Linked DNA regions of Callithrix jacchus. Each later gene encodes a partner of the first gene's protein in a complex. Links are inferred from orthologs where the notes say so. Each region holds a gene or a part of one and is shown in the gene's direction. Other genes may lie near its edges. The genes, in order: SF3B5, PHF5A, CWC27, DDX46, CWC22, SF3A2 and SF3A3.

Region 1 (3,324 bases):
TAAGTGACATACTATACAGCAGTAAAAATGAACTAAAGTTACATGATATGTAACATGAATACTGACAAGGGCAAAAAGCAACTTTTATAACAATATAGACAGAGTGGTATACAGAGCTTTAAAACATGCATAACAAAAACTTCTATTGTGCATGGATAAAAAACCTTTTTTTTTTTTTTTTTTTTTTTTTGAGAAGGAGTTTTGCTCTTGTTACCCAGGCTGGAGTGCAATGGTGCGATCTTGGCTCACCGCAACCTCTGCCTCCTTGGTTCAAGCAATTCTCCTGCCTCAGCCTCCTGAGTAGCTGCGACTACAGGCATGCGCCACCATGCCCAGCTAATTTTTGTATTTTTAGTAGAGACGGGGTTTCACCTTGTTGACCAGGATGGTCTTGATCTCGTGATCTCGTGATCCACCCGCTTCAGCCTCCCAAAGTGCTGGGATTATAGGCATGAGCCACCGCGCCCGGCCTCTTGGATACACAAACCTTCAGCAATTAAAAAAAAAAGTTTCCCCAGAAAAGTGGCAAAATGTCAAGGTTTGATACATCTCCAACAAGTATGCCTTATAAAATTCTCTACATTTTAGTAGTGAAACGTTTGTTATAACAAAGTTTAAACAGCAGAATAAAACTATTTTCAAGTTCTCTCTCTCTCAGTAGTGTTCCTTCTCTACGGTTGTAATACAATTATTTATCAAATTCTTGTTTGGGATATATATATATATAATTTTTAAAGAGGATCTCGTTTTTTTCAGGTAGCCTCTATCCATATGAGGAAGTTATTAAACTAAAAATTAGGATATAAAGCAATAATAAGGAAGAGATGGATAATCTGCAAAGAGGAAGAAGAATTTACATCTGTCTGGAGCAGCCAGAGAAAATTCTAGGGAGATGCATTTGAGCTGCCTTTAAGGCAGATGCGTTCACCAAGGGAACAGACATTCCAAGTAGAGGGAACAGCTTGCACAAGGAACTGGGGAATGGGCACAACAGGTAACATGGAGAAGTACAGTTGTCCCTCAGTATCTGTGAGTGATTGGTTCCAGGACTCCATGGATACCAAAACTAGAAGATACTCAAGTCCCTGATATAAAATGGCTTGTATTTGCATATACACACATCCTCCCGTATAGTTTTTCTCTAGATTATTTAACAATACCCAATACAATGTAAATACTATGTAAATGGTTGTTATATTGTTTAGGGTATAATAACCTTTAAAAGTCTACACTTCGGTACACACTAATTTTTTTCCCAAATATTTTCAGTCGGGTTGGTTGAATTCACAAAACCCACTGAATGGAAGGGCCAAGTAGGGTGCCGTGAGGCATTGGAGGGAGGATATCAAAATAACTGGCTAGAGAGGAAGGAGGAACTTGAGGTGGAGCCGGAATGTGAGGAAATGGGTACTGTACTTGCTCACCAAACACCCTGGTTAGAGCTGAAATAACTCTTTGATGCTACAAACTCCTAAGCGACATAGTTGGGACCAGAACTCGCGCCTACTGACTTCTGGGTAATCCATCCCGGGTAGTGAAGGGACTGCCGTGCCGCCACGATAGGTCCGAAATACATAAGAGTTTATTTTCGGGGTTGCTCGTAGTCCACTCCTATTTGGGTTTCCCATTTCCCATCAGCCCCAAGCCAACCACGGATGCTTCCCGCCTCGCAGACAACACCCTCCACTAGGCACCCATACCGCTTTTAAAAGGCGACCAGAAGTTCCGGAGGCTGGCGTGCACGAACTCCAAAGACCAAGACCACAAGTCCCAGCATGCAACGCTCCCGGTTGAAAAGGGCCTCTCATAGCCACTAAGCGGACCATCATGCAACGCTCTATGAAGGGGCACGGCTCACTACAGGGGCGGCACACTTGTAGCGTCGCATACCTCGGCAACTCCAATTCCGTGACTGATGTGCTTCCGCTTCCGCTTCCGCCTCTGAGCCCTATGAGCGAGAGTTACACTACTTAGTCTCAGTGACGCCATTCTTCTGCGACCGCGTGGGCCCGGAGGTGCTGTGCGGTGTCCTCACTCCCGCTTGAAACGGTAGAGCGGTGACTTGTTTCCTGCGGCCTCTGACCTCGGAGCGAAGGGGAAAGCGGCGAGATGACGGACCGCTACACCATCCACAGCCAGCTGGAGCACTTGCAGTCCAAGTACATCGGCACGGGCCACGCCGACACCACCAAGTGGGAGTGGCTGGTGAACCAACACCGCGACTCGTACTGCTCCTACATGGGCCACTTCGACCTTCTCAACTACTTCGCCATTGCGGAGAATGAGAGCAAAGCGCGAGTCCGCTTCAACTTGATGGAGAAGATGCTGCAGCCTTGTGGACCGCCAGCCGACAAGCCCGAGGAGAACTGAGACTGCCTTACCAACGCCGTGCGCGGCGCCTCTCCCAGCGTTCCTCCCGTTTGCCAAATCCCTCGAGTATTCCTGCCTTCAAGGGACCGGCTCTCTCCATGGCTCCTGCGTCCCGCGCTTTCTGCGTATAGAAGTGCTTGCCGGGGAAGTCCCTCCTGACCCGCCTTCATGTGGACACTTTGGGACAGCATTGAGAGACCAGCAGGACCCCTGAGAACTGTGCTGGCGGAGAGGTCCTGCAGCCGGCAAGTCTCTGAGAAGAGGGCGTGGCGCTGGAGTGAGATGGGATTTGGCGTCTCGTTTTTGCCTAATTGATTGTCATTGGCTTTTTCCATAAAGTTTAGAAATCGTTCAGTCTCTTGGTGTGAACTTCCTGTGTTAGGGTGGAGGGCTCCGGAAAGAGCTCCAGGCACCGAGGTTCGCGAGAGTCCGAGTGGGAAATGGGTTTGGGTGAGGGTGCGAATGCCAGTGTCTGTGGCCAGGCACTTAGATATGCCTGTATACCTTTATAGTGTTCCCCGACTGCCACTTCCTCCAAGAGCTTTATTTTCAGTCTCACAATGACTTCAGTTTTGAAGTTTGCGGTTAATGTATCCCATCTTTTTCTTCTGTTTTAAAAATCTTTGCTGTCATTGTTTTCCCTAGCCTCTTTAAATTACATCCTTTCTTTTTCCTGGGAATTTGAAACCATGTCTCCAGAAATGACAAGATGGCAAGCGAGTTCATCCATTCTACATTCAACAAATATTTGTTGAGCTCTATGTGACAGGCATTTTCCCATGTTCTTGGGTATACATTAATGCTGGTGGTGGAGAAAGGTCAAACACTGTAGGCATAGCAAGCAAATGTTAGAAGGTGGTGCTGGGAGGGGAGAATTATGTATATGGTGTGGGTGGGGTAGCTGGTAGGGTTGTAATCTTAAATATGATGCACAAGTTATTGAGATGGTGATAT
Region 2 (4,600 bases), on another chromosome or scaffold:
CTTTAAACCATATGGTAAAATGTAAGCAATGTGATGAAAAATAAAGTGCCACAATGCTTCCTGAGAGCAACGCATAACTTGTAAAATTCTATTATCAAAGTTGTGCCACTTGATCCAAAAGATTCACAAAGTGAACTGTGACAGAGGATGTCTACAGAGGCTTGCTGGCTTTATTTTTATTAACAAGTACACATTTGACATTGAACCTTTGAGTATAACACCTTCCCAGGGCTGTCAAGTTAGGAGTGAAAAAACCATCTGGCAGTCACAGTCAGCTTTCTACATAGCTTCTAACAGGGAAGTCAAGGTCAAACTGGAGTCTCCCTATCCTTCCATATTTGACAAGCAACTTGTTATGAGCTCAAAACATTCATTCTGCATTCTGACAAATAGAAATGACAGTACCATGGTTCAGAAAGTTCTGTGAGGGCAAACTGACATAAACAAAAACTGAGTGGTGGTAGGGCTCATGCTTCTGTCACAGCACTTCGGTGACACTCAGAACCAGAACTTTCACCTACTCTCTACCAGTTTTATGACCTATCAGATAAGAAAAACCATCTCATTCCTATGATTACATGAATCAAATGATTTAACGAAGAATTAAAAGTTTTCAAATCTTGTGCAAAGGTGAGAAACTATCATTACTATATACTACGCAGGGGCCCAGAAGACACCCCCAGGCATTCCATGTTCCGCAGAGTCCTCAAAAGGTGGCACAGGGTCCTAGTTTCTTCTCCAGGCCCGGCAACTGCAGATGCTGTCGAGTCTCTGTTGCTATGAAATGGGAAGTGAGGCCTCAGGCACTGGGCCTAGAATGCTCAACAACGACCGCGCCCCCTAGTCACCTTGTCCTCACCTTGAGGAACCGAAACACACTCCACAGAAGCAGGGAATGCTCTCCTCAAGAAGAAGGAGGTGCCTCCGCTCCTCACCTGGCCGCCGCTGCGTGGGCCCACGCTTCTCGCGGGGCGGGGGACGGGGCCAGGAAAGCTGACAGTGTGGGGGACGCCTTGACCTAGGGCACCAGAGGAGCGGGCACGGGTGCTGGGCCCACAACCAGGACAGGTACAAGAAAAATTGGCCCCAGGTCGGGCCCGCCTCGCCCTGCCTCACCCACAGCCGCCGGCAGAGTAGGAGGCACCCCGCCCCCATGAACCTAGAGGTCCCTGAGCTTGCTCACCTGCAGCCGGGTCACCAGTAGGCTGTAGGGCGCCATTTTGTGCACTGACAAAGATGAGGTCGCGTGAAAGTGACGTCCCACACGGCGCTTTTAAAGCCTTTGGGCAGGGGCGTGCCCAAAATAATGGAGCGTCACGGTGAAGGCGGGGTCTCCCTAGAGGCGGCAGAACCCTGAGAACGCAGTGAGCGGAGTTCACGTGTAATGAACCGACACGCAAGAGGAAAAAGAGGAAATAAAACTGCCGAAAGTCACTTGCAGAAGTAAATACCAAGCACAAAGATGTTTATCCAATAAGAAATTTTCATTATCTCTGCCATCCAAATCTGGGAGTTTTTAAGACTTTTATGCACCTGCCAGGACCTGACCGCCCAGCGACAAAACTCTCGCGAGAGCAAGCGGGCCCTGGTGCAAGGATTGTAAACTGACGGAAGCCTAGAGGACCAATCACAACGACGTAGAGGCAGGAACTATAGGGGTTAAGGATCCAACGGAAGTTCCCGAAGCTTCCGGCGGCCGGCTTCGTTGGGAACTATGGCTAAACATCATCCTGATTTGATCTTTTGCCGCAAACAGGCTGGTGTTGGTGAGACTGCGCCTTGCCCCCGGCTGTCTGGGTAGGGGTAGTGTTAGGATCTGGGGGCTGGGGGGGTTTCCATCTCTTCCTTAGGGTCTAGCCTCTCAGGCGCCACGTTTCCCGCCTCTCAGGCATAGAGTGTTGTAGGAGCGCGCAGGTTTGTGGCCTCTGAGGGCGGGGGTGCGCGTGCTGGGAGCCCCAGGCAGGCGTCGGGGTTGGGGTCTGGGCCAAGTCTAGAGAAACTTAGTTTGCTAAGGACTTTGGAAGACATTCAGAAGGATACTCGGGCTATGAGTTTGCTTTATGTGGAAATTTGTAATGATAAAATGGCTATCCACAGGGCTCACTACAGTCCTTGTTCATGTTCCTGTCCCTAGGTCGAGGATGTACTTCCCCTCTTTGTCAAAATCTTTAATTGTACTTTTTACTATCTTTGATTTTGCAGCCATCGGAAGACTGTGTGAAAAATGTGAGTGGAACACACCGTCCAACAACCCACCCTTCCTACTCCCAGTTTCTGTGGAGCCAGCCAAAGTGCCACAAAGGGGTCTTTGAGTAGATGTGCCTGGATCTAGATGCTGGACTTCAACCAAAGGCCCCTCCATCTCCCCACTGCCACTTGCACATATAATGCTGTATCTATCTCTAGCTTTCAACAGGAAGAATCGCCAGAGTAGCGTGACCCCTCCCCAACATACAACATTTTGCCAGCAATTATATAGGCTTATCATCTCCCAAGTGCTTTTCTAAGTTCTTTCCATATGTTAATTGATAAACTTTTGTATGTGTTGAGGGGTTTGAGATGGATGCTGGATAAACCAAGTTTGTGATTCCCAAGAGGAGGGCCCTAAAGTCACTGTCAAAAGGAGACTAGTATCTTTCCCCATGGCAGGAAATAGCAGAGGACTGAAGAACTTGCTAGTGAGCATGACTTCATTCTTTTCCTTGCAGGTGATGGCAAGTGTGTGATTTGTGACTCCTATGTGCGTCCCTGTACTCTGGTTCGCATATGTGATGAGTGTAATTATGGATCTTACCAGGGGCGCTGTGTGATCTGCGGAGGCCCTGGGGTCTCTGATGCCTATTATTGTAAGGAGTGTACCATCCAGGAGAAGGATGTAAGTGTACAGCTTTCCATCTGACCTTTCCTCCTTTTATTTAATAACACTTTGCCATCCACTGCAATCTCCTATGGTCTATGGAGATTACTGTGTTCATCTAGTCATCTAGGTTATAATTTCTTCAAGTTCTGTGAGTCAAACTGGGTGTAGTCCAATAAAAGGCAGTTATTTTGCATCAAGGGGAAAATGCAAGGTAAGCAAATCTGTGTCAAGACCAGCAATTTGGAGAGCCCTCTCTCTATTCTTTTTATGTCTCTCTGTGATTATTCTTATTCAGAAATGACATCTGCTCCAGGCGCGATGGCTCACGCCTGTAATCCCAACACTTTGGGAGGCTGAGACAGGTGGATCATGAGGTCAGGAGTTCCAGACCAGCCTGACCAACATGGTGAAACCTTGACTCTACTAAAAATACAAAAATTAGCCAGGCTTAGTGGTGTGCGCCTGTAATCCCAGCTACTCAGGAAGCTGAGGTAGGAGAATCACTTGAACCCAGGAGGCAGAGGTTGCAGTGAGCGAAAATCGTGCCATTGCACTCCAGTCTGGGCAACAGAGTGAGACTCTGTCTCAGAAAAAAAAGACATCCAGTTGGGGATGGTGGCTCACACCTGTAATCTCAGCACTTTGGGAGTCCACAGCAGGAGAATGACTTTAGTCCAGGAGTTCAAGACCAGGCTGGGCCATACAGCAAGATCCCATCTCGACAAAAAATAATAATTTTTATTTGAGACAGGGTCTCTTGCTCCGTGGCCAGGCTGGGTGCAGTGGCATGATCATGTGCAAGGCTCACTGCAGCCTTGACTTCCTGGGCTCAAGCAATCCCCCCACCTCAGCCTCCCAAGTAGCTGGGACTGCAGGCATGCACCACCACACCTAGCTAATTTTTTTTCTTTTTTTTTTTTTTCCTTTTTTTTGAGATGGAGTTTTGCCCTTGTTGCCTAGGCTGGAGTACATTGGCGCAATCTTGGCTCACCACAACCTCCACCTCCCGGTTCAAGTGATTCTCCTGCCTCAGCCTCCCAAGTCGCTAAGATTACAGGCATGTGTCACCACACCCAGCTTTTTTTTTTTTTTTTGTATTTTTAGTAGAGACAGGGTTTCTCCATGTTGGTCAGGCTGGTCTCAAACTCCTAACCACAGGTGATCCACCTGCCATGGCCTCCCAAAGTGCTGGGATTAGAGGCATGAGCCGCCATGTTCAGCCTGGCTAATTTTTTTGTAGAGATGGGGTCTCGTTTTATTGTCTGGATTGGTCTCAAGCTCCTGGGCTCAAGCAATCCTCCTGCCTGAGCCTCCCCAAGAGCTGGGATTACAGGCATGTAGCCATCATGACTGGCCAAAAAAATATTTTTCATTAGTAGGGTGTGGTGGTGTGCACCTGTGGTCCCAGCTGCCTGGGAAGCTGAGGCAGGTGAATCACTTGAGCCCAGGAGGTCAAGGCTGCAGTGAGCCATGTTCATGCCACTGCACTCCAGCCTGGGTGACAGAGACCTTGTGTGTTTATTAGTCCTATACAGTGCATGTTGTGTCACAGCCACTCATTAATGTCTCAAATCTATCATTAAGCACTATTTGGGTATATATCATGACAAAGTTGAACTTGAGACAATTCAAGTTGACATCAGCTTTAAGCAGGTAACGAATGTCTTTGGTTTAATATTGCAGAAATGATTTTGGACCTGCATCATGATTTTTTTTGTCCCTTGACATTGTGTATGACAG
Region 3 (4,119 bases), on another chromosome or scaffold:
TCATATGTAAATGATCAGTGTGTCATTAATTCCAAAAAATTCACTACTCTTCTTGGGCCAATTCCATAAACAGCCACAGAGTGGATAGAGTTATTGGGACATACACGATTGTAAACTATAAGACCCCCTGTACTCAAATTAAGTCTGTATTCTATGTCTGCTTGTGTATCCTCATAGGAGACCGTAAAGTACAGGCACGCTTTCAATTCATACAGTCTGTGATTTATAGAGGCACGTAGGTCAGGAATTTATTATGCTGAAAATCATAATAACTGTTTTGTTTTGCTTTTCAAAATGAAGTGACCAAAGCATGTTGAAAGATAAATGGTGAAGCATTTTGATTATGCTTTTATTTCTCTTAAAGATTAAATATTATTGCCAAATAACCAGCCATGCTAAGTATTATGATATTAAAGCTGAAGTAGTTTGTAAGCTGATAGCCCTTTCTTTCCTCTGGGTTTAGGTTTGTTATTAATCAAAATGTTGAACTTGCTTAGTAGAGTGGTGTATGAAACAAACAGTTGAAAAAGACAGCTCCTTTAACTTACGGCTCTATGGTTTTTTTCAAATTTGTAAGGAAATCTGTTTCTTCTTGCGGACTTTATGCTGTTATTCATGTGTCTAGAGTTCATTTTTTATACCAGAGCCAACTAAATCTAATAGTTGCAAGATTTTCTCATGGCATAGAAAGTAAGAAGGTGCCTTTTTATATTCTTAATTGACAACAGTCTGATCAAGTCATTTTTGAAACATGGAGAATCCATGTAATATCCCTAGAAATGGATATTACAAAAACTCATCTGTATTTCTGGGCAGAGAACAGGATAATTTTTTAAATAGAAGAATATGTATATGAAGAGGTATTAATAAGATAGTAGGTTTGTTTTCTCATATCCGTCCAAGAGTATTGATGAAATTGTTTTAAAGGGCATATGGTTCTTGCTACACTTTCTGGTGATGGATTAGACATCAACACAGCCAGCCATAAGCACTTGGAAAGCTGCTGCTAATCATGTACTGAAGTGCAGTAGAGGGGTCTAGACTCCCCATGATGTGTGGTAAGGGACCTTTAACAGGACAGTCCTACCATTCTTCTGCAGTTACTCCTCATCAGTGGTAATTTTACAATTTTAAAGAGTATATTTTGTGGGGGATGCAGCAAAGACTGTAAGAAATGTTGAAGAAAAAGGCTACCTCTCAATAACTGGGGGAAAAAAGGCTTAATTTATTACTTAAGTAAAGAAGAACTGTGCTTTTAAGGCACAGTGTCCCTACGCAAAGTAGGTGGCAAATCTTACATAGTGCTTTGGGGTCAGGAATTGTTTAGGTGTAGCTATTAATCTCAAAAGCCCCTTTATTCAAAAGAGACTATTGTTGATGGGCTGTCATTCAGAAGCATATTCACTGGAGTGAGTCTGCAGTTGATGGGCCAACTTTCAAAAGCATGTGGCTGTCACTGGTTAATTGGCTTTCAGAGGTGTATTTACTGAAGTGAGTTGTCACTGATCATTTAGACCTTGGTGAGACATCATTAATTGCTTAAATCTGGTTTAATTGTTTTTCCAACTGATTCTAGTGGTTTACTTAATACCATGACTGTAGAACAGTCAGCCTTTTTCTGGGAGTTAGAGATTGTCTTACTTTCAGAAGCTAATATCTAAACATTATAGGAAGTTGAAAGCACAAGAATATTAGACTTTGCAATGATTATACAATACATTTTTTAAATAAAGGTGTTTACTAAAGGAATGGAAGATTAAAAACTTGGCAACTCCACATGTGAAATAGCATGTTCAGGTATTGAGATCTGTTATTAAATTTGATACAAATAATGTATCATTAATAATATAGTTCCACGCATGGTGGCACGTGTTTGTAATTCCAGCTGCGTGGAAGGCTGAGGCAGGGTGCTCACTTGAGCCCAGGAGTTTGAGACCATCTGGGGCAACATGGCAAGATCTTCTCTCAAAAATAACAATAATAATAATGAAGTATAAAAATGTGAACATGACTTAAGTCATTCAGTAAATTAAAGTAGATTCTAGATCATCCATATATATCACTCCTACTTATTACATTCCAGCAAGCTTTCTTAGGTGGGACAAGGGAAGGTAGAAATGGTACATAAGCCTCAACTCGTCAGCCCTGGTGAGTAGCAGCTACTGAACCCTTAGTAATGATGGTATCACTAAAATTGTGACATTTTGTTTCCCTCCTATAATCTTTTTAGGAGTCTTTAAAATCTGGGTATATCCATGGGAGTTTGCCACACAAGTAAATATCACTCATAATTTCTGCCGCTGTAGGGAGAGGGACCTTCACTACTGCCTACTTACTGCCCAGATCTCCACTTACATGGGACAAAAGATATTAGCATCATATTTGGGTTTCATCTGCTTATATGGGACAAAAGATATTAGCACCATATTTGGGTTAAAACAGGCGTATAAGAAGTATTAATACTACAGTTTAACCCTGTCTGCTGTGATGAAGAAAAGTGTGTATAGGGTATAACTGGTAGGAAAAGACTTAGAGTTTTATTTGTTTAAAAATTAAACTTTTCTCTTTCCAAATTCATTCAACTGTTCTGAAGTCTGCTCTTTTGACTTCCCTGTTTATTCCTGACACTTCGTATGGGGCACAGCTAATTACTAACATATTTCACTGATCCTAAAGATAGCTAGCTTATGACCTCTTAGGATTCCAGCGTATGCTGATACCTTAAGACCAGTGAGCTTTTGAGGAAGTAAGAGAACAGGACTGGTTAGGTTTGTTGTAATCAACAGTAGAAGGAAATTAGTCCATAGAGTTATGTCAAAAGTTTAGTTTCCTTTTGTATGAAGAAAATATTTTTTTAAACCGGCAATTCCCCAGGAAAGGGAGTCATAACACCATTTGAACATCATTTTTAAATTAGCTTAATGTACTCCCTACTTTTGACCCATGTAACTGTTGAAAATTTTAAAAATCAGATAGGACTGGTTTATTGTCTTGAGTTTTGTTCTGCAGCCTGACTCACTCTGGCTAAAGGAAGGTGTTCTTTAAAGGAAGCAGTGTCCTCTGAGTTTACTTTGAGGAACGCTTCTGTATAGAACTCTTTTAACCTCCCATCAGGGGAGAAACCTCAAGTGAAAACTGAGGCAAAGATACTCTACTAGAAATATAAACCAACAGAACAAACTCCAGACATGTTTTTCAAATTTAAGAGGTTTCTGAGAAATTGGTTTCCATGTGGTGTAAGAACCAGTAAACAACAAACCCATCTTGGTGTTCCGTACGCTTATGGTTCATTATGCCAATGATAGTAGAGTATAGAATTTCTACTTTAAGTTCCCATGCAAGAATCACTGAACCATCTCTTTCCCTCTTTAGGATGTCACATGTACTTCAGTTTGAGGATAAAAGCAGAAAAGTGAAAGATGCAAGCATGCAAGACTCAGACACATTTGAAATCTATGATCCTCGGAATCCAGTGAATAAAAGGAGGAGGGAAGAAAGCAAAAAGCTGATGAGAGAGAAAAAAGAAAGAAGATAAAATAAGAATAACGATAACCAGAACTTGCTGGAAATGTGCCAGCAGTGGCCTTGTAACAGCCATTGTTCCCAACAGCATCACTTAGGAGTGTGAAAAGAAGTATTTCCGAACCTGTTGTCTGGTTTTGAAAAACAATTATCTTGTTTTGCAAATTGTGGAATGATGTAAGTAAATGCTTTTAGTCACTGGTACATGCGTTTTTTTCCTACCTGACCTTTTATATTGCTAAATCTGAAATAAAATAATTTTCCTTCCTTGTTACATGTTAACCATTTGCAGACTATGCAAACCTGTTTGTGTCCTTTCACCCTAAAATATGTGAAGGCTTCCTTTTCAAGGTTTTTTTTTTTTTTTTTGCCAATCAGTGTGAGCTTGTAAGGTTGCTCAGGTTAGCCTTGAACTCATGACCTCGCCTTCACAAGCGCCACGACATCTGGCCGTTCAAGGTTTTTTAATAACAAGTTCTTACAAAAAGAATATTTCTGGGAAACCTCCCTTTCACTAACTTTGGAGTATAATAAAAGATTATAAATAAAAAATAGACTATAAATATGGGTGAAGTTTTTTGCATATAAATATTTCAG
Region 4 (4,119 bases), on another chromosome or scaffold:
TGTACATAGCAGTAGCATTCATGTGACTTCTGTCAAAACAAAGCTTTCATCATTGCACTTGCCTTGATGGGGAAACAACCTGCATTTATTTCCTTTCTTGATTCAAAGGAATAAGGGAATAAGCCTTTTCTGGTTCAGTTACCCAGTTTTCAAGGCAAATCCAATTGCATTTTATGGGTTAGGAAGAGTTTTGAGAGCTTTGCCTTAGGAACGTGTTATACTATTCCCCTTGAGAATTATTGACTGTATTTTTAGTTGGCCACTGACCTTGAGTTATAGCCCTTTTTCCAGCCTCTTTCATTGCAGTATAATTTGGTCTCAAGGCTTGAGCCCTGGGGCAACTCAGCTGCATCATATTTGCTGTTCTGTCTTGACAGCACATGTTTCCTCATTTATTGAACAGGGATGTAGTTTCTGGGCCTCTCAGGAGTCTGATGAAGTGGTTCATGCAGTGTTGTTTCTCTGTTTCTGTTTTTTTTCCCACCATAGACAACTGATATTTGAAATGAGACATGTGACTTTTAACAAATAGGTGGTATATTTTCCCATTGATCTACGTAGTAGGATTTGCATAAATATTTCCAGCCTGTTGGTGGAAACATTCCTTATTTATTTCTGTAGAATAACCTAATTTGGTATTTCTAATTCAGTTTTTTTACTTGTCCTTTTTTTGCTTTTGATCTAGATTGATGAGCAAATTGAAAGCATGTTTAATTCAAAGAAGAGAGTAAAGGATATGGCTGCCCCTGGAACATCAAGTGTTCCTGCTCCAACTGCAGGAAATGCTGAGAAATTAGAAATTGCTAAGAGATTGGCTCTTAGAATCAATGCTCAGAAGAATTTGGGCATCGAGTCTCAGGTATTAAGTAATTTGTTCCAAGTCTCAGTCAATACATTTTTTTTTTTTTGAGACAGAGTATTGCTCTTGTTGCCCAGGCCAGGAGTACAATGGTGTGCTCTCAGGTATTAAGTAATTTGTTCCAAGTCTCAGTCAATACTCTTTTTTTTGAGACTGAGTTTTGCTCTTGTTGCCTAGGCTGGAGTGCAATGGCATGATCTCGGCTCACCACAACCTCTGCCTCCTGGGGTCAAGTGATTCTCCTGCCTCAGCCTCCCGAATAGCTGGGATTATAGGCATGTGTCACCATACCCAGCTAATTTTGTATTTTTAGTAGCAATGGGGTTTCTCCATGTTGGTCAGGCTGGTCTCGAACTACCGACTTCAGGTGATCCATTCACCTCAGCCTCCCAAAGTGCTGGGAGTACAGGTGTGAGGCACTGCACCAAGCTAAAACTTTTAATAAGTTCTTTGATTTTATTTTTCAAGGATTATGTTGAGCACAAGTAAACAAGTTGTCCTGGACATTGAGTTTGTGAGAATTTAACATTCTCAACATAGGATTTTTTTTTATAATTGTATTTGGATGATTTTTCTAGTGCTATTAACTGAGGACTTTATGCCTGTTCTAGACTTTCTAACTATTAGCCATAGGTAGTTTTATAGAGTAGTATTCTGATGGGTCTTAACAAAACCGTTAAGATGTATGAATAATTCTGTTTCTTTATAAGCTTTCATTGGGTTATTGGGCATACAACTCCCTGGATGTACAAACACCTAGTTAAATGACTCAAATTAACATGGGCTTAAATGGAGAAATGTAATTTTTACATATTTCATGATACCTCTTTCTTGGAAGCGTATTTGTTATTTTGAAGCTTTTGAGTCAGTCATTATCACATTTTTAATGCTGGGTTGGGTCATGGGGAGGAAGGAACTCAGTGATGGTAGTAGTATAAACTTTCAAATTTGGAGGAAACTCCTAGGAGTTACCAAGTATGTAAATGATTCTGGAAATATTTACTGTATCTGACATCAAGAGTTAGTTAATTATCAGCTGCATCTCTATGATCTAGTAGAATATATAATAGAGAGTTGAATATTTTCCAGTTTTTTTATTCACAGGGAAAAACATTAAACTATGTTATAATTATGTATTGCTAAATCACATGTCAGTGGGGCTATGCATTAGAAGTGTTTATTTATTAAACTTGCATAAAAGTTAGTAGCTTTTCAGAGAATAATTTGTGGTGGGTTCCCTACTCTTGTCTCTGCCCTCATTTGAGATTTAACTGTAAGTCTTCTCTAACTACAGGATGTGATGCAACAGGCCACCAATGCAATTCTTAGAGGTGGCACCATTCTGGCTCCCACGGTGTCTGCAAAAACCATTGCAGAACAACTTGCTGAAAAGATCAATGCCAAGCTCAATTATGTGCCTTTAGAGAAACAAGAAGAAGAGAGACAGGATGGTGGACAGAATGAATCTTTTAAGAGATATGAAGAAGAATTAGAGATCAATGACTTCCCACAGGCAAGTAACAGTTTTAAACCTTTTTTTATTGTGAAGCAGAAAAAGCAAAAATCTCATCTTTAAAACCCATGAATATTTTAATAGCTACTTCACTTTTTACCTAAATGGAGGATGTAACAATAGAAATTTGACTTTTATGAATATGTTCAGTGTACCTTAGGATCTAAATGAACTTATGCAGGTATGTGTTAATAATGATCTTTGTTTTGTTTTTGTTTTTTTGAGACGGAGTTTCGCTCTTATTGCCCAGGCTGGAGTGCAGTGGTGTGATCTTGGCTCACTTCAACCTCTGCCTCCTGGATTCAAGTGATTCTCCTGCCTCAGCCTCCCGAGTAGCTGGGATTACAGGCATGTGCCACAACACCAGTCTAATTTTTTTTGTATTTTTAGTAGAGATGGGGTTTCTCCATGTTGTTCAGGCTGGTCTCGAACTCCCGACCTCAGGTGATCTTCCTGTCTTGGCCTCCCAGAGTGCTGGGATTACAGGAATGAGCCACAACATCATGCCACCACGCCTATCCAAGAATGATCTTAATATTGACCATAGGGCAAAGCGCGGTGGCTCACACTTGTAATCCCAGCACTTTGGGAGGCTGAGGTGGATGGATCACCTGAGGTCGGGAGTTCGAGACCAGCCTGACTAACATGGTGAAACCCCGTCTCTACAAAAAAAAAAAAAAAAAATAGCTGAGCGTGGTGGCACATGCCTGTAATCCCTGCTACTCGGGAGGCTGAGGCAGGAGAATCACTTGAACCTGGAGGTGTAGGTTGTGGTGAACCAAGATCTCACTGCCTCAACAACAAGAGCGAAACTCTGTTTCCAAAAAATATATATATATATTGACCATAATGTGATATCAGTCAGCCTAGTCTTTGTTAGCACTCCTGGGTTTTTTTGTCTTGTTGTGAAGTGATTTTTGTTTTCCTTACCTTTTCTTTTAGACTGCTAGGTGGAAAGTTACCTCTAAGGAAGCTCTACAGAGAATCAGTGAATACTCTGAAGCTGCAATTACAATCAGAGGAACATATTTCCCTCCTGGCAAAGAACCCAAGGAGGGCGAGCGGAAGATTTACTTGGCAATTGAAAGTATGTGCTGTTGGTTCTGTTTCAGTCTTCAGTTTAGATCAAGGTTGATGTAGATGTAATAGACACAGAGAGAATGTGAGGTCAATTCTAGAGAGAACTGAAAGTAAGGAACGCCTCTGACAAAAAAATTTCATGTCATTTGAGGTCTTTATTTAGAAATTCAGTACGTATGTAAAAGTAAATGATCTGTTTGTGAGACTCAGTTTTGACAAATCAAATTTGAAAATTAAAACAACATTTTGAGGACTGACCTTTTTATGCTTAGGTATATTCTGGCCTAAGTTTAGGTTGGAATGTAAATCAACTATATTAATCCACTTAATGAATGTTTATCTAGGCAAATATTGCCTGTGAAATTATGCTCATGAAAGTTTATACCTTTAACAAAATAACAAGTAGACAATTAACGCCATAATCTAATGGATACAAATAATACATTATTACATTATCTAACAGCAATCAGGTTTTTCTTTTTTTTTTTTTTTTGAGATGGAGTCTTGCTCTGTTGCCCAGGCTGGAGTGCTGTGGCACTATTTTGGCTCACTGCAACTTCTCCCTTCCAGGTTCAAGCAATTTTTCTTCCTCAGCCTCCCGAGTAGATGGGACTGCAGGCGCCTGCCACCATGCCTGGCTAATTTTTGTATTTTTAGTAGAGATGGG
Region 5 (3,561 bases), on another chromosome or scaffold:
TTCAGTATAATCATTTCGTATTTATAGTTGGGATTATATCAGCAAAATTAAATTATTTGAGGTCTTTTTAGAAGAGTTTCTTCAGAAACTAAGCATTTGTGGCTCTAATAAAGCCTATGACTGTAAATCTTAACATATCTGCTCTTGTTGGTGCATTTAGTGTCTCTCTGCAAGTATCAGAGAGGAGAACTATTGTTTTGGCAGGAAGAGGCCTTTCATTGAGAAGTATATATTCATACTGTTAAGCAAACCCAGTTGTTCTACTCCTCCTATGTTTAGGAAGTGATTGCTAATTTGTGTTATCATTGTATTTCGATTAGGTACCACATCTGACATAATATTCCTATAAATAACACACATCAGACGGAATTTCAATTTTTTGATTAAATTTGTTAAGTGGAAATGTACTATTCGAGTCATTTTCTAAAAATTTTTACATTTGCTATAAAATTTCTTTTTACTGTCTTGAATCTAAAGATCAAAACAGTACTTTGGTAACTAATGTTGAGATATTATATATTCCCTCTCCTTTCTTCTTCCTTGACTTTCCTCCTTCCCTCCTTCTTCCCCTTCCTTCCCTTTTTTTTTTTTGGCAGAGTCCCACTTTGTTACCCAGGCTGGAGTGCAGTGCATACATGGATCACTCAACTTTTGCCTCCTGGGCTCAGTTGATCCTCTCACCTCAGTCTCCTGAGTGGCTGGGACTATAAGCGCATGCCACCACACCTGGCTAATTTTTGAGATTTTGTAGAGAAGGGGTTTCACTTCATTACCCAGGCTGGTCTGGAACTTCTGGGCTCAAGCAGTCCACCTCCCCACTGTCCCTGCTTCCAAAAGTGCTGGGATTACAGTCGTGATCTGCTGTGCCTGACCTGAGATGTCCTATATTCTTAAAAATTAAGCATTTGTTAAGACCCTGTGTCATCAGACCTTCTATTCAATCAATTTGGCTTTGCGTCCAGTTTATCTGAGTTAGTAAACCTACAGTGTATCTGTAAATGTGATTGTTGTAATTATGAAATTAAGATTGAAATAAAAGCTAACTGTCTTTTATTTTACATATGCAGCTAATGATGTAAGAAAGAAGGGACATGGGAAGACCAGAAGTAAAGAAGTAGATAAATTGATCAGAAACCAGCAAACAAATGATAGGAAACACAAAGAAAGAAGGCAAGAACAAAGGCACCAGGAAATAAGGACTGAGAGAGAAAGAAGATCAGAAAAACACAGAGATCAAAATTCAAGAGATTCAAATTGGAGAGATCCTATGACAAAGTACACATCAGACAAAGGTGTTCCTTCTGAACGAAATAACTACAATAGAGTTGTGAATGACATAGACCAAGAAATGCATATAGATTTGGAAAGTAAGCATGGTGACCCCAAAAAGAAGAGAGGAGACAGAAGTTCTTTTTCTGAAAATGAGAAGCATAGACACCGAAATAAGGATGGTGAAAATTTTAGAAGAAAAGATAGATCAAAGTCAAGGGAAACGAATAGAAAACACTCTGGCTCAAGAAGTGATGAAGATAGATATCAGAATGGTGCCGAGAGGCGATGGGAAAAATCTAACAGATACTCTGAACAATCCAGAGAATCAAAGAAAAATCAGGACCGGCGGAGAGAAAAGTCTCCAACTAAACAAAAATAATTCTACAAAACGACACAAACTGGACATGCCTTATATTCAGTTGAAGCATATTATTTTTTACTTTGATTGACAAACTTTATAGAGAATTCTTGTATAAACTAATGGTTTGTATTTGTAAATTTTAAAAATGTTTTCATGTTTTATAATTGATACATCTCAAGGCCCTACACATAAAATTATTTGAGAAGATTCACCAGAAATGGATGTAAGTCTCACTTATATTTTATGAATAAAATTATCAAATTGCTCATTGATTCAGTCATTTTTTTTAATTGACAAAATTTTTTTTGAATTGTTTAAGAAGCTGTTATAGTGAATTATTAGTGCTTTTTTATTTCTAACTGAAGACCGAAACAGGTGAACCTTCTCAGTTTAACATTTTTGCTTTGCTAATGAGATGTCATGAATCTTTTTCAAGTGGTCACTTTTTTAAACCAAAGGATTTATTACAGTTTTCATATTAGGCTTTGAACAAAGTAAGTAATGTGTAATTTGTTCACAAGTGTTGGTAAAGCTAGGTGTATGTTAGTCTTTAAACCAATACACAGTTATTTATAATTAGGACTACTCCCACAGGCAACATTTCTTCTCTCTGGACTGCTTGATATCATTTAAATGAAATTCTTTGTGATTAGTACATTTTTCTCGGCCTTGAAGTTTTGTCACTGTTGATGAATTAATATGTATTTAATTTTTAATTTTGATTAATAGATCATTGGAAAACTTAACGGTTGTGAGATATGCAAGCAGCCTAACTGTAATTTGTTTTTTTATACGAACTTTAAGGGTTCCATCATTGTAACTGTCACCGATTAATTAATATGACCATATTATTTATTACTTTTGAAATAAATATTGCCTCTGAGATCTTAGACTTGCTGGCAAACATTTGACCTTACTTGCTAAATGTAGACTTGTGCTTGCTCACCTTAAAGGTGCATATAGTTTGTTTTAGCCAATGTTTGGTTTCAGGAATACTGAGGCCACTATTTTAATGTTTAGTTTTTGGGCATATGCTGATTCAAAATGTTTCCTATTTTTGTTGTTTAACTTGACTATAAGTAACAATAAAATTTATGTAATTAAATATCCTCGCCTTCTCCCCACCAACTCACAAAAAGCGTTCATTTGAATGAGATAACTTAGATAATTCTTTTTAGTATTTTTCTCCCTTTGTGGTGGTTAAAATTTGCTATCATCGGAAGGGGACTATCATAGACATAGTGCATTCCACAGAACTGCAAGCTGAGGAGATTGGATTTAACAAACATGTGGGCCATAAGCCCTAAGGGAAATTATTTTTTTACTTGAACCCTCATCTTCGGGAGTGGTAAAAAGGAAAAAGTAGTAGACTAGGAATTTTAAATTACTTTTTTCACTTAAACCTTAGTTCATGACTTTTACATGTAAATATGGGAACCCATTCTTTTTATTAAGTACTTAAGACCTTAGAGTAGTTAGATTCTTTTTTAATGTTATTAATATGTATTAAGCTTTTACTATTTGCTCAGGTTTGTTTTAGGTACTAGAAATAAAACTGTAAACAGAGTTTCTACACTTTGGGGCTTATAGTTCAGGGGAAGGAGATGGTAAAGACAATAAATAAATATGTGACATATCTAGAAGTGATAAGTGCTATGAAGTAAAGCAGAGAAAGACTGAGTGATTGGGGGACAGGGGGTATAGAAGGTCAGAGCAGTTCTCTGATGAGGTGATGTTTGCCCAGATACCTGAACAGAGTGAGTACTTGAGACGTGGATTTCTTGGGAAGAACCTTATAGGCAGAAGGAATAGCTGAGATACAAATGTTTTTTGATAGCAAATAGCCTGGAAATTTTTGTTAACATTTCCTATTCTACTTAATTTGTGTTTTGTCTTCTGTGTGTGTGTGCTCCTCACTACTTTATATT
Region 6 (4,802 bases), on another chromosome or scaffold:
TCCCCGAAGACGGGAATCTCTTAAAACCCAGGAGAGCCACACCCCTCTCACTCCCCCACCCCGACCTGGGGTTTCCAGCCCAGGGCCATACAACAGTGTAGACCCACGCTAATCACGGCAGCCGGGGAAGCGCTGTGCATCACGGCCCGTCCGCCCCGTGGGTACAGCCTGGGCCCACAGGAAGAAAGGGCAGACTCTGGGAGGGGCCCAAGCTTAGGTGGACTTGGCAGGTGGGCACGGCGGTGCCCGCCAGGAGGACCTGACCTTGAGCTGGCCGTGGACAACGCACTCTTGTGTCTGGGGAGGGTGGCGCCAGGCTGGGGACACAGAGGAGGCCTTGGGCGCCTGGGGAGGGGACAGTGCGGCGCCGCGGGTGCCCCGGGCTGCTGGAGGCGCCCCTGGCCTCCCCAGCCGCACTCACTGATGGAGAAGGTGCCGGGCTCCTCCCGGGTGACTCTGCAGCGCTCCAGCAGCAGGGCTCCGACGGGCTGCAGGAGACACGGGCGCCGGGACGCGGCGGTGAGCGCCCAGCCTCCCCGGGGCGCAGCCTGGCACCCACCCGCGCGCCCGGGGCGCCCCTACCTCGGCCTCGTCTGTCCGGAAGTAGAAGAGGAAATTCACCACGAGCTTCACCAGCCGCCGCTTCAGCACTGCGAGCACAGCGCACGCTCAGGGGCGCAGGCGGTCCCCGCCCGGATCCCCACCCTCCACCCCCAGCGCCCTCACCCGAACCCCGGACCCGGTCTCCCGCCCAGGCCCGGACCTCGGTCCCCGCCTCCAGTCCCTAGCACTGTCCCGGTCTCCCGGGTCCCGCTCACCGCTGCCCTTCTTGGGGCCCCTCATGCCCAGCTCGGCCGCCATCTCGGCCGGCTGCCGGGACAGCGCCTGCAGCTCCTTCTCGTTGTACCGCATTGTTCCGCGGGGAACGGGAACCCGTGCCACGCCTTCCCGGCCGCCGTCCCCGCTCGCGCCGGGGCCGGCGCCAAAAAGGTCCCAGGGCGCACACACGGAAGCACCGCTGGGGCTAGTGCGCCTGCGCGCCTTGGGCCGGCCATGCCACCCACCCCCGCAGGGTGGCGCTGGCGTCCCGGGGGGGGGGGCGTGCAAGGGTTGGCTGGGGAGACGGACCGTCGTTACTAAGTTAACTGAAATACACCGGACCAAGGTGGAACAAAATCAAAACAGCCCCGCGAGGGCTGGCGCCCCTTCTTAGAACGGCCAGGCGCAGGCGGAGGGAGCGATAACATCTCCCGAGTATCAGCCGCCCTCTCGCGAAAGTCGGCCCCGCGCGGCCGCAGCGGACCCAGGGGTCGTTGAAAGCGTTGTGCGCACGCGCGCTTTGTTTTCCAGGCCGCACTTTCAGACCCGCCACCTCCAGCCCTTTCCCTCGCGCCTCCGAACCTCCCGACGCGCGCCGCGGGGCGGGCCGGGCATGCGCACACGGGAGTTCCCGCCCCATCTGCCCCGGAAGTGCTTTCTTTTGCCCGCGACGCGCGTGCGCCGAACGAAATCGTGGCGGTGGCGGATCAAGGTGGCGATAGCGCGGCCTTGGGCTCTGGTGAGGGCGTCGGTCGACGGGGACTGGGGGTTCCCTGGAGGGGAGCGGACGTGGGAGAGAAGCGCTTGCTACGGGCCGCGGGCTGAGGGGCGGGCAGCGGGGTCGCGTCCCTTCCTCCTCCCTTGAGCGTCCGGCCTCGTGCATCTAGAGGCCCCGCGCTGGGCGGGCTGGCTCGAAACTCTTATTTCCAAACACCTGTTGGGGGGTCCGTACTCCGGACCTCACGCCTCTAATCCCAGCGCTCAGGGAGGCCTCGGCCGGAGGATCGGTGGAGGCCAGGAGTTCGAGACCAGCCTGTACAACATGGAGACCTCATTTCTACAAAAAAATTTTTAAAAACTAGCCAGGAGTGGTGGTGGCGCTTGTAGTCCCAGCCACTCGAGAGGATCGCTTGAGCCCAGGATGTCGAGACTGCAGTGAGCCATGATCTCACCACTGCACTTCAGCCTGGGCAACATAGCGAGACCCCCATCCCTGCAAATATTGTTTAAAAAATTAGCCGGGCGTGGCGGCGGGCGCCTGTAGTCCCAGCCACTCTGGAGGCTGAAGCGGGAAGATCGCTTGAGCCCAGGAGCTCGAGGCTGCAGTGAGCTGTGCTTGCGCCACTGCACTCCAGCCTGGGCAACAGAGCAAGATCCTGGTTCGTAAGATAAGAAATAGACAACCGAGACTCAGGGGTCGGATCAGGATCGCGGCCGAAACGGTCTGGGTCCGCTTTGTTGTAGCCCAGAGCGCTCCTGCATCCTAACCTATACCTGTTAGTTGACTGGGGCTCTGTGATGTAACTCCTCTCAGCTTCCGTTCCTTTAAAACGGGAGTGACAGCTTCACCAGGCCCAAGGCGAACGGAAAACCTTAGCTGGCCCCATTTTGCAGGTCACCCCAGGCAGCTGGATGCCTGCGACCGTTACTCCTGTGTGTCCTTGGGCAGCACCAAACAGCCACGGGAGCTCTGGAAAATAGGTTGTTTGCTAGGTTTAAGGAGAGAATGGAGTTGCCACCAAAAACTCCCATCCGCTCAGTGTTCCAGTCCCAGGCCCCAGGACTTTCCCCAGTTCCTTTTTTTTGGGGGGGGACGGAGTTTCGCTCTTGTTACCCAGGCTGGAGTGCAATGGCGCGATCTTGCCTCACTGCAACCTCCGCCTCCTGGGTTCAGGCAATTCTCCTGCCTCAGCCTCCCGAGTAGCTGGGATTACAGGCACGCGCCACCGTGCCCAGCTAATTTTTGTATTTTTAGTAGAGACGGGGTTTCACCATGTTGACCGGGATGGTCTCGATCTCTTGACCTCGTGATCCACCTGCCTTGGTCTCCCGGAGTGCTGGGATTATAGGTGTGAGCCACCGCCCCTGGCCTTCCTCAATTCTTAAGTGGGTTTCCCTGGTCTTTTTTGAGACAGGGTCTTGCTCTGTCACCCAGGCTGGAGTGCAGTGGTGCAGTCACAGCTCACTGAAGCCTCAGGCCATGCTCCTGCCTCAGCCTCCTGAGTAGCTGGGACTACAGACACTCACCACCATGCCCGCCTAGTTTTTGTATATTTTGTAGAGACGGGGTTTTGTGTTGTTGCCCAGGCTGGTGTGGTGCTCCTGACCTCAGGTAATCCGGCTGCCTCGGCCTCCTAAAGTGCTGAGATTACAGGCGTGAGCCACCACGCCGGGCTCGGCTAACTTTTGTATTTTTTTTTTAGAGGTGGGGTTTTGCCATGTTGGTCAGGCTGTGCCCTGGTCTTCCTGGACTGATCTGCTGATTTCACGTCAGGGTGGTTGACACTACCTCCCTCCCATCCACCCCCTGCACCTTCACCTTCCACCTCCTGGATGGGCGTCTGTCCTGAGCGGGAGTAGGTCCTTGGCTACGTTTTCTAAATAAGATGGAAAACGTTGTTGGTTGCTGAGAGAAGTAACATGTTCAGCTGGGCTTTTGTTTTGCACTCTTTCTTCCCCTAAAGCTGAGCAAGTTGCTTTTTACCATTAGCCTGCTTTGCTTTTTTTTTGGAGACAGTCTTGCTCCGTTGCCAGGCTGGAGTGCAGTGGCGCCATCTCGGCTCTGTGCAGCCCCTGCCTCCCGGGTTCAGGCGCTTCTCCTGCCCCCGCCTCCCCCCGTAGCCTGGTTTTCTTCTGCCTGTTTGTTTAGCTCCTCACAGAGCTCCAGCATCTCACACACCTATCAGTTGTATTTCACACAGGTTTAAATAAATCCGTCTCTCCTCACCACTTCCCTCCAAGACTCACGTGTCCCCTCCTCCAGGTGGGACTGGTTCTGCTCTGCCCTGGACGTGGGGCTGTTGCCCCAGAGCTTCCGGTCCTTGCTGCCCGGGGCCTGCCTCTGTTTCCAGCGTGGCCACCCTGTCCTCTCCATGAGTCAGAGCAGAACTTCTGGTGGCTTTTGAAGAAATAGATGATTGTTTTGTTGGTGGGGGGGGTGGCCCTTGATTGTCTGAAAATGAGTTTATTTACCCTCATAGTTAGGAATTTGGTGGGGTATAAAAATCTAGATTGAAAATCTGTATTCGTAGGCTGGGCACAGTGGCTCACGCCTGTAACCCCAGCACTTTAGGAGGCTGAGGTGGGTGGATCACCTGACTTCGGAGTTCAAGACCAGGCTGGCCAACTTCACGAAACCCCATCGCTCTAATAATGCAAGCATTAGCCAGCTGTGGTGGCGGGCGCCTGTAGTCCCAGCTACTCCCAGCTACTTGGGAGGGTGAGGCAGGAGAGTCACTTGAACCCTGGAGGCGGAGGTTGCAGTGAGCCCAGATCGCCCTGCTGCTCTCCAGCCTGGGCAGCAGAGTGAGAATTCATCTGAAAAAAAAAAAAAAAAAAAAAAAAAAAGAGAGATGGAAAGAAAGAAGGAAGGAAGGAGAAAATCTGTGTTTGTTCAGAACCGTGAAGGCTGTTTTCAAAAGACGGGCGGCCCGCTGGTTTCTGCTGCGTGTTGTGTTCTGTCCAGCGGAAGCCTCGCGTTCTTCCTGGTGTGAGTTCCCGGCTTCCCCGTTTAGCAGGGTCTGTTTGCTGATCTTGGTGGGTCCTTGCTGTCTGGGCAGTTTGGTCTTTGAGTCCCAGGTTTTGTTTTCAGTTTTCTTGTTAATATTCTTATGTTGCCTCTTTGATAAGCTTTTTCCTGCTTGCTTTGTTGGGTGTTTTTTCTGTCCTCCCTCCAGAGCGTCATCTGGGGTCTTGCTTTTCCTCCTGTTTTTTCAGCCTTGCGCTTTTTGATGAAGGCTCCGTCTGGCCCAGCCTCAGACCCT
Region 7 (4,751 bases), on another chromosome or scaffold:
CACCAGTGTTTTTCTTTTAACACCTTTCTGGACATTTTATCTGGACACACATTGTTGTTTTTCTGCCTGGCTTCTTTCACTTAGCATGATGCCTTCATGGTTCATCATTGTAGTGTTACTTTATTGCTGAATAATGTTCCATTGTACTGTATAGATATACCACATTGGATCCATTCACATTGGATCCATTCAACAGTTAATGGACTCTTGGGTTGCATCCGGTTTTTGTCTGTTATGAATAATGCTGCTGTTAACATATAAATACATGGACTTTTTGCATTTCTCTACAAGTGGAGATAAATAGACACAGTCTTTTTTTTTTTTTAAAGGCCATATAGCATTTCACATAAGGTCTTCCACTGCTTGGATGCACAGACTTTATTTTATTTATTTCATATTTTGACAGAGTCTCGCTCTGTCATCCAGCTGGGAGTACAATGGCGCGATCTCGGCTCACTGCAACCTCCACCTCCCAGGTTCAAGTGATTCTCCTGCTTCAGCCTCTCGAGTAGCTGGGACTACAGTCACGCACCACGCCCGGCTAATTTTTTTGTATTTTTAGTAGAGACGTGGTTTCACTGTGTTAGTCAGGCTGGTCTTGATCTCCTGACCTCATTGGATGCACAGTATTTTATTTAACATATCCTCTACCGATAGGTTCCTTCTACACATCAATTTCTTTTTCTTTTCTTTCTTTCTTTTTTTTTTTGAGACTGAGTCTTGCTGTGTCACACAGGCTGGAGTGCAGTGGTACAATCTCAGCTCACTGCAACCTCTGCTTCCTGGGTTCAAGCGATTCTCCCGCTTCAGTCTACCAAGTAGGTGGGACTACAGGCACCTGCCACCATGCCCGGTTAATTTTTTTTTTTTTTTTTAGTAGAGACGGGGTTCCACCATGTTGACCAGACCGCAAGTGAGCCGCTGGCCTTGGCCTCCCAAAGTGCTGAGATTACAGGCGTGAACCACCGCGCCCGGCCTCACTTGAGAATTTCTTTTAAAACACCACCATTGGTGGCTCCGGCCTGTAATCCCAGCACTTTGGGAGGCCAAGGCGGTTGGATCACAAGGTCAGGAGATCGAGACCATCCTGGCCAACATAGCGAAACCCTGTCTCTACTAAAATACAAAAAAAATTAGCTGGGTGTGGTGGCGCACGCCTATCGTCCCAGCTACTCGGGAGACTGAGGCAGGAGAAGTGCTTGAACCCGGGAGGCAGAGGTTGCAGTGAACCAAGATCGCGCCGCTGCACTCCAACTTGGCGACAGAGCAAGACTCCGTTTCAAAAAAAAAAAAAAACCCACCAGCAAAACCCCACTATTCCCATTTCACTGAGAAAGACACTGAGGTCCAGAGAAGGAGCAAACGTTCTGATAATTCATGCTGAAAACTGCGCCCTCAAATTCCGGTTTCCCAGCTCCCATCCGGACTCCAACTGCTCGCACAGTCCACACAGGGTACCTGTCCGCCCAGCCGGCACCCGCAAGCCCCGGGAAGCCCGCCGCTGAACCTCAAGTTCTTGGATTTTCCTATGCCACCTGGAGGAATCTGCAAACCTCTTGGCGTCCGTCCACCACACCTCCGACCAGCAGGTGGCACTGTTGCCATCTCGATAACATAGACTCGTCCTCCTTGTGGTGCTCATGTTTTCCTAAGTCCCTGGACACTTCCGGCACTGGAGGAACTTTGGTGCGGCCGGATGCGCAACGTGGGGACTCAGGCGCGCAAGGCGGCACGGGTTGTTTCCGCCTTGTAGGTGGTCTGTATTGAGAGTCCGCGGCGAAGGGAAGATGGAGACGATACTGGAGCAACAGCGGCGCTATCATGAGGAGAAAGAACGGCTCATGGACGTCATGGCCAAAGAGATGCTCACTAAGAAGTCCACGGTAAGTTGGGTCTGGTCAGGGGCTGCGTGTGAGGCTGGGCCTCTATCCCGTGTTTGACCTCTGAGAGCTTGCTTTGGGCCTCAGTCTCCCCACGCTCCGCCCCCGTCTCCTCCGGAGCTCCGTCTCCGAGCTCCGGTCTTGGTAACCTCCTCCCGGAGTCCAGTGCCCCAAAGGCCTTTCCGCCTCAGCTGCTAAAACCTGAGCCGGTGAGCTCCGCCCTCGGGCGGCCTTTTCTACTCCGGAACGTAAACTAACGGCGTTTGTGTCACCGTTTGTTTTTTCAGCTCCGGGACCAGATCAATTCTGATCACCGCACTCGGGCCATGCAAGATGTGAGTGCGCTGCTGTCTGCCTCTTTTTGGGTCGGCGAGGGCGGGAAAAGAGAGGGGAAGTGAAGTGCTTGTCTCAGCATGAGCCCTGGCCAAAGGTAACCGGATTGGCCAGTCGAGGGCTCTCTGTCTGGGCAGTCCACCGGCTGCCGAACGTGAGGGTGCTTCCTCACTTCTCTGAATGGGGAACTCTTACGCATTCTTAATTACTCGGGAAGATGCCCATTCTTTTAGTTTCTTTTCTTTTTTTTTTTTTTTTTTTGAGACGGAGTCTCGCTGTTGTTACCCATACTGGAGTGCAATGGCACGATCTCGGCTCACCGCAACTTCTGCCTCCTGGGTTCAAGCAATTCTCCTGCCTCAGCCTCCCGAGTAGCTGGGACTACGGGTGCGCGCCACCATCCCCAGCTAATTTTTGTATTTTTAGTAGAGACGGGGTTTCACCTTGTTGACCAGGATGGTCTCGATCTCTTGACCTCGTGATCCACCCGCCTCGGCCTCCTAAAGTGCTGGTATTAAAGGCGTGAGCCACGGCGCCCGGCTCTTTTCTTTTCTTTTTTGAGACCGAGTTTTGCTCTTGTTGCCCAGACTGGAGTGCGGTGGCGTGATCTGGGCTCACTGCAACCTCCACTTTCCGGGTTCAAGCGATTCTCCTGTCTCAGCCTACCGAATAGGGGGATTACAGGCGGCTGCCGCTACACCTGGCTAATTTTTTGTGTTTTTGTAGGATGGGTTTCACCATGTTGACCAGGATGATGTCGAACTCCTGACCTCGTGATCCACCCACCCCAGCCTCCCAAAGTACTGGGATTACAGACATGAGCCACCGCGCCCTGCCTACAAGTGCACATTCTTTTTTTTTTTTTTTTTTTTTTTTTTTAATATTTTTGAGACGGAGTTTCACTGTTATTACCCAGGCTGGAGTGCAATGGCGTGATCTCGGCTCACCGCAACCTCCGCCTCCTGGGTTCAAGCAATTCTCCTACCTCAGCCTCCCGAGTAGCTGGGACTACAGGCTGCGCCACCATGCCCAGCTAAGTTTTGTATTTTTAGTAGAGACGGGGTTTCTCATGTTGACCAGGATAGTCTCGATCTCTTGACCTAGTGATTCACCCACCTCGCCCTCCCAAAGTGCTGGGATTATAGGCGTGAGCTACCGCGCCTGGCCCAAGTGCACATTCTTACAGCATCCCGTATCCCTTGGATGTGCAAACAATAGTTATGAGGAATCTATGACACAAGTGCACAGCTACAATCCTTCTCTTAAAAAAAAAACATATATTAGTGTTTTTCTGTCAGGATACTGTTTTAAAGTTTTTTGGACTACTAAACTGCATTTGCCTTGTAATTGCTCAATTTATTACTTTAAAAAAAGATGTTATATAAATTATAAAAATTGGGTGATGAGTAAATGGAAGTTATGCTACCTTCCTTACTCTTAACGTATGTTTGAAACCTGTTTAAAAAGGAATAAAAGACCTACTTGGATCTTCTGATTTACAGGAGAGAATCAGATTACAAGCCCTCAGCCCCAAAATACTCTGAAAACTAAGGATTTTTTTTCCCTTGGGTGATTATTTGATGTCAAAATCTGACTTGACCTCACTTGGTAGTAAAACCTGGCCTGAACCTGGGATAGGCTTTTTATAGTCTTTTATTTATCCCACTTAGTAGATAAGGCATAAGGTTTACTGCAGAACTGTGTGCTTCAGATTCCACTAGGGATGTTACATAATATATGATACCTTTTCTGAACTTAAAAAATTCCAAATTCTGAAACAAACCTGGTCCCCAAAGTTTTGGAGGCATGACTACATACCTGTACCATCCTGAATTAATATACTTTGACTCCAAAGGAAGCCTATGTAATGTTTATTTAGCCTGCCTGCTCCTCAGTCAAGCTTTTTGAAATGGTGAATATCATTATCTTTGAGGATTTTAGGTGGGAACTGTGTTTAGCCAATGAGGATGAATCTGTTACAGACAGAGTTAGGCATTGGTGGTATGTAAAGATAGGAGCCACCTCTTAAATGATATCATTTTGGTAATCTTCCAGTCAACCTATTTAAAAAACTAACCTGGAATCAGGGCTGTGTGTTAAAAGGTACTAGGAAGTACAGGAACTGTTAAGACCATATCCATGTCTCTTGAGGTTGCCCTTGGGCTTTGACTGGAGAGCCCTTGTTGTTTGCTTAGCTCTACAGTTGTGCAAATTGTGTCGTTCTGATGGTTTTGTATTTGCCTTTCAGAGGTATATGGAGGTCAGTGGGAACCTGAGGGATTTGTATGATGATAAGGATGGGTAAGTGACAGTCACAGCTAATCTAAGAATTGGTGTTTCTGAGGAACCCTAGTTAGAGGACTGACTTTGTGCTCTATCTTCTTTGAATTTTTCCTGAAATTGCAGATTACGAAAGGAGGAGCTCAATGCCATTTCAGGACCCAATGAGTTTGCTGAATTCTATAATAGACTCAAGCAAATAAAGGAATTCCACCGGAAGCACCCAAATGAGGTATGAGAAAAGAATAGGTCTTTTCT

Evidence for each region.
Region 2: the proteins of SF3B5 (region 1) and PHF5A are in contact, whole or in part, in a cryo-EM structure (PDB 7EVN), measured with the Homo sapiens proteins. The link is inferred for Callithrix jacchus from reciprocal best matches to the Homo sapiens genes SF3B5 and PHF5A. Residues at the interface, in NP_112577.1 of Homo sapiens: Arg4, Tyr5, Thr6, Ile7, Gln10, Leu14; in NP_116147.1 of Homo sapiens: Pro6, Asp7, Leu8, Ile9, Phe10, Cys11, Arg12, Ile88, Leu91.
Region 3: SF3B5 (region 1) and CWC27 share a complex: the UniProt entries of both Homo sapiens proteins name them as parts of the minor spliceosome. The link is inferred for Callithrix jacchus from reciprocal best matches to the Homo sapiens genes SF3B5 and CWC27.
Region 4: SF3B5 (region 1) and DDX46 share a complex: the UniProt entries of both Homo sapiens proteins name them as parts of the 17S U2 SnRNP complex. The link is inferred for Callithrix jacchus from reciprocal best matches to the Homo sapiens genes SF3B5 and DDX46.
Region 5: SF3B5 (region 1) and CWC22 share a complex: the UniProt entries of both Homo sapiens proteins name them as parts of the minor spliceosome. The link is inferred for Callithrix jacchus from reciprocal best matches to the Homo sapiens genes SF3B5 and CWC22.
Region 6: SF3B5 (region 1) and SF3A2 share a complex: the UniProt entries of both Homo sapiens proteins name them as parts of the 17S U2 SnRNP complex. The link is inferred for Callithrix jacchus from reciprocal best matches to the Homo sapiens genes SF3B5 and SF3A2.
Region 7: SF3B5 (region 1) and SF3A3 share a complex: the UniProt entries of both Homo sapiens proteins name them as parts of the 17S U2 SnRNP complex. The link is inferred for Callithrix jacchus from reciprocal best matches to the Homo sapiens genes SF3B5 and SF3A3.

Annotation. Positions count from the first base shown.
Region 1 is NC_133505.1:150,851,835-150,855,158, reverse strand, and holds SF3B5 (splicing factor 3B subunit 5), read left to right. Parts: upstream 1-1,989; 5' UTR 1,990-2,109; coding exon 2,110-2,370; 3' UTR 2,371-2,725; downstream 2,726-3,324. Other genes in the region: uncharacterized protein LOC118153004, read right to left, coding at 1,891-1,989. UniProt on the Homo sapiens protein: Component of the 17S U2 SnRNP complex of the spliceosome, a large ribonucleoprotein complex that removes introns from transcribed pre-mRNAs.
Region 2 is NC_133502.1:192,270,112-192,274,711, reverse strand, and holds the start of PHF5A (PHD finger-like domain-containing protein 5A), read left to right. Parts: upstream 1-1,669; 5' UTR 1,670-1,714; coding exon 1,715-1,797; intron 1,798-2,134; coding exon 2,135-2,226; intron 2,227-2,708; coding exon 2,709-2,875; intron 2,876-4,600. Other genes in the region: ACO2 (aconitate hydratase, mitochondrial), read right to left, coding at 1,184-1,219.
Region 3 is NC_133503.1:144,474,907-144,479,025, reverse strand, and holds the end of CWC27 (spliceosome-associated protein CWC27 homolog), read left to right. Parts: intron 1-3,372; coding exon 3,373-3,535; 3' UTR 3,536-4,085; downstream 4,086-4,119. UniProt on the Homo sapiens protein: As part of the spliceosome, plays a role in pre-mRNA splicing. Probable inactive PPIase with no peptidyl-prolyl cis-trans isomerase activity. As a component of the minor spliceosome, involved in the splicing of U12-type introns in pre-mRNAs.
Region 4 is NC_133503.1:33,232,391-33,236,509, forward strand, and holds part of DDX46 (putative ATP-dependent RNA helicase DDX46), read left to right. Parts: intron 1-685; coding exon 686-862; intron 863-2,153; coding exon 2,154-2,372; intron 2,373-3,314; coding exon 3,315-3,459; intron 3,460-4,119. UniProt on the Homo sapiens protein: Component of the 17S U2 SnRNP complex of the spliceosome, a large ribonucleoprotein complex that removes introns from transcribed pre-mRNAs.
Region 5 is NC_133507.1:49,068,555-49,072,115, forward strand, and holds the end of CWC22 (pre-mRNA-splicing factor CWC22 homolog), read left to right. Parts: intron 1-1,067; coding exon 1,068-1,651; 3' UTR 1,652-2,738; downstream 2,739-3,561. UniProt on the Homo sapiens protein: Required for pre-mRNA splicing as component of the spliceosome. As a component of the minor spliceosome, involved in the splicing of U12-type introns in pre-mRNAs. Promotes exon-junction complex (EJC) assembly.
Region 6 is NC_133523.1:2,116,483-2,121,284, forward strand, and holds the start of SF3A2 (splicing factor 3A subunit 2), read left to right. Parts: upstream 1-1,495; 5' UTR 1,496-1,558; intron 1,559-4,802. Other genes in the region: PLEKHJ1 (pleckstrin homology domain-containing family J member 1), read right to left, coding at 265-488, 583-650, 819-912. UniProt on the Homo sapiens protein: Component of the 17S U2 SnRNP complex of the spliceosome, a large ribonucleoprotein complex that removes introns from transcribed pre-mRNAs.
Region 7 is NC_133508.1:74,563,217-74,567,967, reverse strand, and holds the start of SF3A3 (splicing factor 3A subunit 3), read left to right. Parts: upstream 1-1,731; 5' UTR 1,732-1,787; coding exon 1,788-1,883; intron 1,884-2,167; coding exon 2,168-2,215; intron 2,216-2,939; exon of another isoform or gene 2,940-4,461; coding exon 4,462-4,514; intron 4,515-4,619; coding exon 4,620-4,725; intron 4,726-4,751. UniProt on the Homo sapiens protein: Component of the 17S U2 SnRNP complex of the spliceosome, a large ribonucleoprotein complex that removes introns from transcribed pre-mRNAs.